Mus musculus: one gene and its partner. The protein of the gene in region 2 binds, or shares a complex with, the protein of the main gene of each other region. Links are inferred from orthologs where the notes say so. Each region holds a gene or a part of one and is shown on either strand. Other genes may lie near its edges.

Region 1 (4,334 bases), on a different chromosome or scaffold from region 2:
TGGTCTACAGAGTGAGTTCCAGGACAGCCAGGGCTACACAGAGAAACCCTGTCTCGAAAAACAAAACAAAACAAAACAAAAGAACAACAACATCAACAACCAACAAGGGTATTGGCACTAATGAAAGTCTCTGACTTTACCACATTTTCCCAAGTAATCAGTTATGGTGGCTTGAGACAGAGACTCCCCTGTTACTTGGGCTGGCCTTCACCTCACTATGTAACTGAGGCTGCCTTGAACTTGTGGCAATCCTGCTTCAGTCTCTCAAGTGCTAGAATTACAGATGTTGTGCTCATTTGTGTTTATACATTTGCCAGTAAGGACATCTTTTTTAGAGACTGAAAACGGTTTGCTTTGCTCCTACTGTGTGCTGGATTCTGTTCCTAATACATGCCCATTAAGCTGGATCCTGTTTCTGTTTTTGTGTTTGAAACTCGCTGTGTAGCCAGGGCTGGCCTGGAACTTGTTATGGAGACCAGAAAGCCTGTATCTCACAACCAACCTCCTACCTCTGTCTCTGGAGTAAGAAAATTAAAGACCCAGGCCACCAAGCCTGGCTCAGCTGAATTCTGGAAAGACAGTTTAAGACAAGATTCTGGGCTGGAGAGATGGCTCAGGGATTAAGAGCACTGGTGCTCTTGCAGAAGACCCAGGTTTAACTCCTAGCACCCAAGTGGTGGCTCAAAATCATGTATAACTCCAAGACTGTTTTAAAAAACCAATATAGTTGAGGCAGTTAACTGAGCTAGCTATCTAAGATATTATGGGTACTTAGAGGTACTGCTGTGTCTGTGTGGTGTGTGTGTGTGTGTGTGTGTGTGTGAACATGTGTGTGCTTGTGCACATGTGAATGTAGATGCCAGGGGACACTTCAGGAATGCATGTCTTTCTGTCTCTCCAGGGCTGGCTAATACAAGATGGTGCCATCACACTGGGCTGTACCAGGGTTGGGGGAACTGAAACAGAGAGCTGCATGCTTAGCATGCGCTTTACCAACTGAGTTATCCCCACAGCCATTACTCCTGAATGGCTGCAGAATTATGTCAGGCTAGACCTTAGTTTAGACTTGCTATTAGCAAGTGTTCCATAACTATGTGACATTGAAAGCTAAACCCATCACACTTTCCATTGCATTCTCATGCAAATCCTCACGTCCCTGAGGGCTCTATTATTTTCCTGTTCATTTGGCAGGTAGAACGCGTACTTTTCAGTTCCCTAATGTGCTTGGTCAAGGATCACGCAGCTAAGAAGTGACAAGAGAGAAGGCTGCCCAAGCCCTCTGACTCCGGTTCCAAAATTCTCTCTCCTTCCTAATGGGACCTGGAGTGCTTAAGCCTTAATCCTACTTGGAATTTTGCCTCCAATTCTCATTTTCTTGGCTTGCTTTGTCTGCGAGGCTTTCCACGTGGCAACTGGAGGGGAGAAGCAACCTACAAGCAAACAGCGATCACTCTGGAGCGCCAGCGTCCTGCAGCCGCCGGCCACGCGCTCAGCACTTGTCTGACCGGTGTGCGCAGCGTGGCGACACAGGCGCATGAGCACGCTGGGCGGGCTCACCCGGAGGCCTAACACCGCCAGGGGAGGGGAGGGGAGGGACCGGAAGTTAGACTATCTCTCTAGGTTGCTAAGAGACCGGGCTGTCCCAAAACAAGCCGGCGATTCTCCAGCCTCTTTTCCTTTCTGAATCTGCTTCAGAATTTCCAAAAGTAGGGTGACCATGTCGGACGGTGATATCTTAAGAAGCACTTTTCCCTCTTACATGGCAGAGGGGGAGAGGCTTTATCTGTGCGGGGAGTTCACTAAGGCCATTCAAAGCTTTACCAACGTGAGTTGCGCTTTGATCCTATTACTGTGTTGCCTTCCTCTTTTCCCCTCCTCCCTTTCCCTCTCTTCCTCCTCCCCTTCTTCTTTCCCTTCCCCTTCCTTCTCCTCTCCCCTCTTCTTTTTTTCTCTTCTTTCCTCTCTCAACCTCCTCCCCGCCTCCGCTCCTCTTTTGAGATAGACACTTGTTCTGTAGACCAGGGTGGTCTCGAACTACCCCTACTTCCTGAGAGATGACTTCCAATGTGCACCCTCATTCCCAACTTATGATTTGAAAGGAAGGTGCCCTCCTTATGTCCTCTGGAGGCCAACTCCCTATCTTGCAGTTGGCCTCTGGAATGATGGAACCCCAGCTTGCTACCTGGACCCACCACCATTGTGTTGTTGATGAAAGATTTGTGTGTATGTATACCACATGCATGCCTGGTACTTTTGGAAGCCAGAAGAGGGAACTGGATCCCTTGGAACTGGAGTTACAGGCAGTTATGTAGCACCAAATGGGTGCTGGGATCCAGATCTGGGTCCTCTACAGGAATAGTAAGTGCTGTTAACCAATAAATCAACACGATACCACCCCCCACCACACACACACACACACTTCACCACTTAAAGAAAAATATTTGTATGTGATGGGTGTTTTGCCAGCATGCATGGACCACATGCATACTTCCCTCTTAGAGTGTGGAAATGGACTGAGGGGTGTGAGCTGCCATGTAGGTGCTGGGACTTGAACCTGGGTCCTCTGGAAGAGCAGGCAGTCAGTCAGTTAGTGTTCTTAGCTGCTAAAAAATCTCCAGTCCCACCCAATTACCATTTTTTTTTCATCACCAGCAGCCCTGAGGTCCATTTTGTGGATATCATACTCCTGGTTCCCATGATATGCCACTGTCACACATAAACCCTGACTTTTGCCATTTTCTCTTATAGTTTCTCACTAATGCCTGCCAGTTGGAGACATAATGTGACCAATCATTAAATGTTTCATGATTACCTTTCTCTTGATAAATTCAGTCTCCCATCCTTAGCCACAGATTGCCCAAGAAGCTAAATGTAGAAGTCTTTGGCACAGGCTTGCCTGTAAGAAAGTTGTCGGTGAAGTTAGGGCGTACTGTAGTAACCTTATTGAAAATTACACCATTGTACCCTACAGGGATTGGGAGTCGTTTTAGGATATTAGACTCACTGCTCTAAGCAGTGTGTGTCCGTCTAGGATGTCGGGGAGCGGAAGGGGTTACTATTGTTTTCTTTGTATATATGAGGAAGTGAATATAAAAGTTAGGTAACATGCCCAAGGTCACTGCACTGAACTAGCTGGAGTAGTGGAGGAAGGATCCTGTGAGCCAAGCATTCAGACTCCAGTTGCCTGGGGTGCCAACCTCCAGACTGCAAGGTGTTCTGATAACCTTTTCCTTTGCAGGGCTGGAGACAGTGCTTAGCTGGGTAGAGTGTTTGCCTTGTGTGCATGAAGCCCTGGTTTGATCCTGCTTTTGAGTGTGTTGTCCCACACTTTCAGTCCCAGCAGCTGGCAGGTAGAGAGAGAGAAGGAACAGAGATTTAAGATCATCTATGGCTACTTAGCAAGGTCAGGGCCAGCGTGGAATACTGGAGATCCTGCCTCCAGAACAGAATAACCATTTCCTTTGCTAGAAACTATACTTTTCTTTTGGGGTGCTGGTGCTCCGACCCCACATGCTTGCCAGTTGCTCTTCTTCTGAGTAACATGAGGAGCCCATAGCCTCCTTCCTTCCTTCCTTCCTTCCTTCCTTCCTTCCTTCCTTCCTTCCTTCCTTTCTTCCTTCCTTCTTTCTTCCTTCCTTTCTCAAGACGGGACTTCTCTGTATAGCCCTGACCATCCTGGAATTTGCTCTGTAGACTGGGTTATTTCGAACTCAGAGATCCTCCCGCCTCTGCCTCCTCAGTACACACCTGAGAACTGAAGGCGTGCACCACCACACCCAGCTCTACTTGGCATAGCATCGGGGCATGGTGGTACTTGTAAATCCCAATATTCAGGGTGCTGAGACAGGAGGATTTTGAGTTTGGGGCTGGCCAGGGCTACATAGTGAGTTCAAGACACGCCTGAGCTAAACTGGCAAAACTGTTTCCAAAGAACCAAATTAAAGCAAACCCTTAAACGGAGTGTCAGCCCACTAACCAATCCCAAGACTTCCCTCAAGTCCAGCTTCTCTACCATCCCCCAATCTTTCACCTCTTTCCCTAGTCACAGCCTCTAAGAGAAATGACGACCTGATGGGCATATGGAGTTAGGAGTTCCGCCAGTTCCCCTCTCTCATGGAGCAATCTGGTCCTAGAGAAGCTGAGACAGAAAGTAAAGATGGCCCCAAGGGCAGGTTAGGAAGCCCTCCCATTCTAGGAAAGATAGCAGCTGCTTCCTCTTCCTAGAAAAGAAGGAAGGTCTTAGAGAGGGCAGACTTGGTCTGACGCCTAGGGGATCACGTCTGTCTTTCCTGGCACCAGTTTCTAGTGCAGAGCCACCTTCCCTTGGGGCAATG
Region 2 (3,557 bases):
TACAGCAGAAGACTCCAGTGTATTGGAGATGTCAGCACCATGGGATGATCACCAAGCACAGCAGCAGCAATGGAGTGGAGTCAACCAGAGCCTAGAGTGCTACAGAGAGCAGAGCTGGAGATGTGATCCAAGCCCTTTGGAGGAGCCCAGAAGATCATGTGGGGATCCCAGACATTGGAACAAGAAGCTGCAAAGTTGAAGTTGCCTTGGAGACCCCAAGATGTTTGAAATGCCAGGGAATACCTTCTGAAGAAAGCTGCTAACAGGGAGTGGAACCAGCCCAGGAGAAAGAAGTTTGTTGCAGTCAACAAAGCAGAGAAGAGTTGGAGATCTGAAGAACACTTTGACATAGAGATGTAGAGTTTGGAGTTTGCCCAGCTGGCTTTTGATCTTGCTTTGGGATTGCAGTTAAGTGATTGGATGCACATCAGACGAGACTTTGAACTTCAGGCTTTTAACATTGTTGAGACTGTTATAGACTATGGGGACATTTCTAGTTGGACTAAATGTTTTAGTGTCATGCTGTGTCTAGGTGTGGTCCCCATAGAATCATGTGTTTGAACAAGCCTAGGGGAGTCAGAGAGTAGAATGTGGTGGTTTGAATATGCTTGGCCCAGAGAGTGGCACTATTAGGAGGCGTGGCCTTCTTGGAGTAGGTATAGCCTTGTTGGAGGACTTGTGTCACTGTGGGGGTGGATTTTGAGACCCTCCTCCTAGCTGCCTGGGAGTCAGTCTTTTCCTGTTTGCCTTTGGAACAAGATGTAGAGCTCTCAGCTCCTCCAGCACCATGCCTGCCTGGATGCTGCCATGCTTCTTGGTATGATGATAATGTACTGAACCTGTGTGCCAGCCCCAATAAAATGATGTCCTTTTTAAGAGTTGCCTTGGTCATGGTGTCTCTTCACAGCAATGGAAACCCTAACTAAGACAGATGGGTATGGCAGGCTCTTCTGGCCTTAGACTGAGGCATCTAAGAGGAAGGAAGGGACCATTCTGGGTGTAGGAAGTCCTTGAGGATTTTGTAGGGAGATGAGTGGGAGGCTGGGTGAAGCCCAGAGGATAGTAGGAGAGAGGCCACTGCAGTCCAACAGAAAGCTAGGAGGGAGCCTCTTTCTCTAGTCCCAGGTGTTTTAGACCAGGGGGCATCCTTAAGCCAGAACAGCTGGGATGGGAATGGGTCAGTTTGACTACTGGGAACACAGGGACTGAGATGAGGTTCCATAGGATGCCAGGGCTGGGACTGGGGTACAGTTGTAGTTTTTGAGATCCTAAAGGGACCCTCTGGGGAGATCTGACAGTCCTGATCCCTTTGAGTCCTTTGCCTGGTCTCATCCACAGTGGATGGGGAGCTCAGCCGCCTGCAACGGCAGTGCAAGATGATGGAGTTGGAAAGGCGGGCATACAGCAAGGAAGTTCATCAGCGCCTCAGGAAGCAAGTGTAAGCTGGGGAAAAGAACAGAAAAGGGACTTCTGAGCCCTGGGAGGAGGGGAGGAGGGGAGGAGGGGAGGAGGGGAGGAGGGGAGGAGGGGAGGACGGGAGGAGGGGAGGAGGGGAGGAGGGGAGGAGGGGAGGAGGGGAGGGGAAGTACAGGGGTGGGGAAGGAGCCGGGACAGGGGAGTGGTTCATGAAAGGGACAGGATAAAAGGTAGGAACAGGAGGAGGTGCAGGGCCTGAGAGTTGCAGGATCTCTGGAGAGTCCAGTGCTGGGGTAGAGAAGAGACGGGATTGGGAAAAACAGGGTCTGGGGCGGGGTGGGGGGTGGGGGGTGGGAGGTGGGGGTGGGGAGGTGGGGTGTCGGGGCTCAGTGAGGGGCGCCGGCTGGAACTGGTTGAGTGCTGCCACTTGCTGGTGCGGACCACCTGCTCCTCCCGGTTGGACAGCGAGGAGATTCGGCAGCTGGAGATGCTTCGAGCCAAGCTCCAGACGCAGATTAACGTAGCGCAGAGCCAGGTCAAGCGACTGGGAGACAAGAAGCATTTGGCGGAAATGGAATGTCTTCTCAAGTCTCGGGCCCAGGTGCAGGTGGAAATCGAGGCGCTGCAAGAGCAGAACCGGGCCCTGGACAAGCAGGTGGGTTCTCCGAGTTGGCCGCCATCCTATCAGACCTTGTAGTAACTGTTCTAAGTCTTGGCGATCTTATCTGAAAAATGGAGCCCAGAGCTCCACCCAGAGCCAGGGATGGTGTGTTAACTGTAAAGCCAACATCCTGAAAAACTGAGGCAGGGGGGTTGCTGTAAGTTCAAGGCTACAGGCTGCGAATCCCACCTCCCATTCCTGCAATGTGCCAAGCAAAAGAAACTATTCCCAAATTCACACTAAATTTTAGCTGGACTGTGGACCTATTTGAATACTTTTAGCCACCGGAGAAGAATGTTTTGTTTGTTTGTTTTGCTTTGCTTTTTTGAAACAAGGTCTTATTATGGTGTCTTGTAACTAGGTGTATAGACCAAGCTATACTAAACTCATAGAGATCTGACTCTGCCTTCCAAGTAAAGGCGTGGGCTACCATGCGGGACCCTGGGAGGCATTTTTGAACTAGTGGTACCTAAACTTCCTTTGTCTTGGAGCTCTTAATTTCTAAGTAAGGTTTTTGTTGTTGTTTTATTTTTAAAGTTTTTTTGTTTGTTTGGTTTTGGTTTTTAAATTTTTGTTATGTATACAATGTTCTGCCTGCATGTATGCCTGCATGCCAGAAGAGGGCACCAGATCTCATTATAGATGGTTAGACCCATCTATAATGTGGTTGCTTGGAATTGAACTCAGGACCTCTGGAAGAGCTCCCAGTGCTCTTAATGTCTGAGCCATCTCTCTAGCCCTTTAAAAAAATTTTTTTTTAATCTTTATGTACACTGGTGTTTTCCCTTCATGTCTGTGTAAGAGAGTCAGATCCACTGGGACTTGAGTTACAGACAGTTGTGAGTCACCACGTGGGTACTGGGAATTGAACTCGGGTCCTCTAGAAGAGCAGCCAATGCTCTTAATCACTGAGCCATCTCTCCAACCCTTTGGTGTTTCATTTTTGTTTTTTTCTGAGACAGGGTTTCTCTGTGTAGCCCTGGCTGTCCTGGAACTCACTCTGTAGACCATGCTGTCCTCAAACCCAGAAATCCGCCTGTCTCTGCCTCCCAAGTGCTGGGATTAAAGGCGTGTGCCACCTTGCCCAGCCGGTTCTCTATTTTTTGAAGAGAGCATTGGTTCCCATTACAGACGGTTGTGAGCCACCATGTGATTGCAGGAAATTGAATTCAGGACCTCTAGAAGAACAGTCAGTGCTCTTAACTGCTGAGCCATCTCTCCAGCCCCTGTTGGTTTTGTTTGTTTGATTTTTGTTTTGTTTTGGTTTTATTGTGAGAGAATCCTCAAGAAGTCAAAGCCATGATGAGAGGCAGCTCTGAGAACTCAAAGCCTTGATTTGCAGCTTGACTGATTGTTATACTTGCTGACATTCTTTTGTTTGTTTGTCTTTTGTTGTTGTTGGTTTTTGTTTTTTTGTTTTTTTTGAGACAGGGTTTCTCTGTATAACCCTGGCTGTCCTGGAACTCACTCTGTAGACCAG

The links.
Region 1: Ccdc114 (region 2) and Ttc25 share a complex: the UniProt entries of both Homo sapiens proteins name them as parts of the outer dynein arm-docking complex. The link is inferred for Mus musculus from reciprocal best matches to the Homo sapiens genes ODAD1 and ODAD4.

What each region holds. Positions count from the first base shown.
Region 1 is NC_000077.6:100,544,084-100,548,417, forward strand, and holds the start of Ttc25 (tetratricopeptide repeat protein 25), read left to right. Parts: upstream 1-1,524; 5' UTR 1,525-1,717; coding exon 1,718-1,825; intron 1,826-4,334. UniProt on the Homo sapiens protein: Component of the outer dynein arm-docking complex (ODA-DC) that mediates outer dynein arms (ODA) binding onto the doublet microtubule. Plays an essential role for the assembly of ODA-DC and for the docking of ODA in ciliary axoneme.
Region 2 is NC_000073.6:45,927,186-45,930,742, forward strand, and holds part of Ccdc114 (coiled-coil domain-containing protein 114), read left to right. Parts: intron 1-1,338; coding exon 1,339-1,438; intron 1,439-1,605; exon of another isoform or gene 1,606-1,646; intron 1,647-1,881; coding exon 1,882-2,071; intron 2,072-3,557. UniProt on the Homo sapiens protein: Component of the outer dynein arm-docking complex (ODA-DC) that mediates outer dynein arms (ODA) binding onto the doublet microtubule. Involved in mediating assembly of both ODAs and their axonemal docking complex onto ciliary microtubules.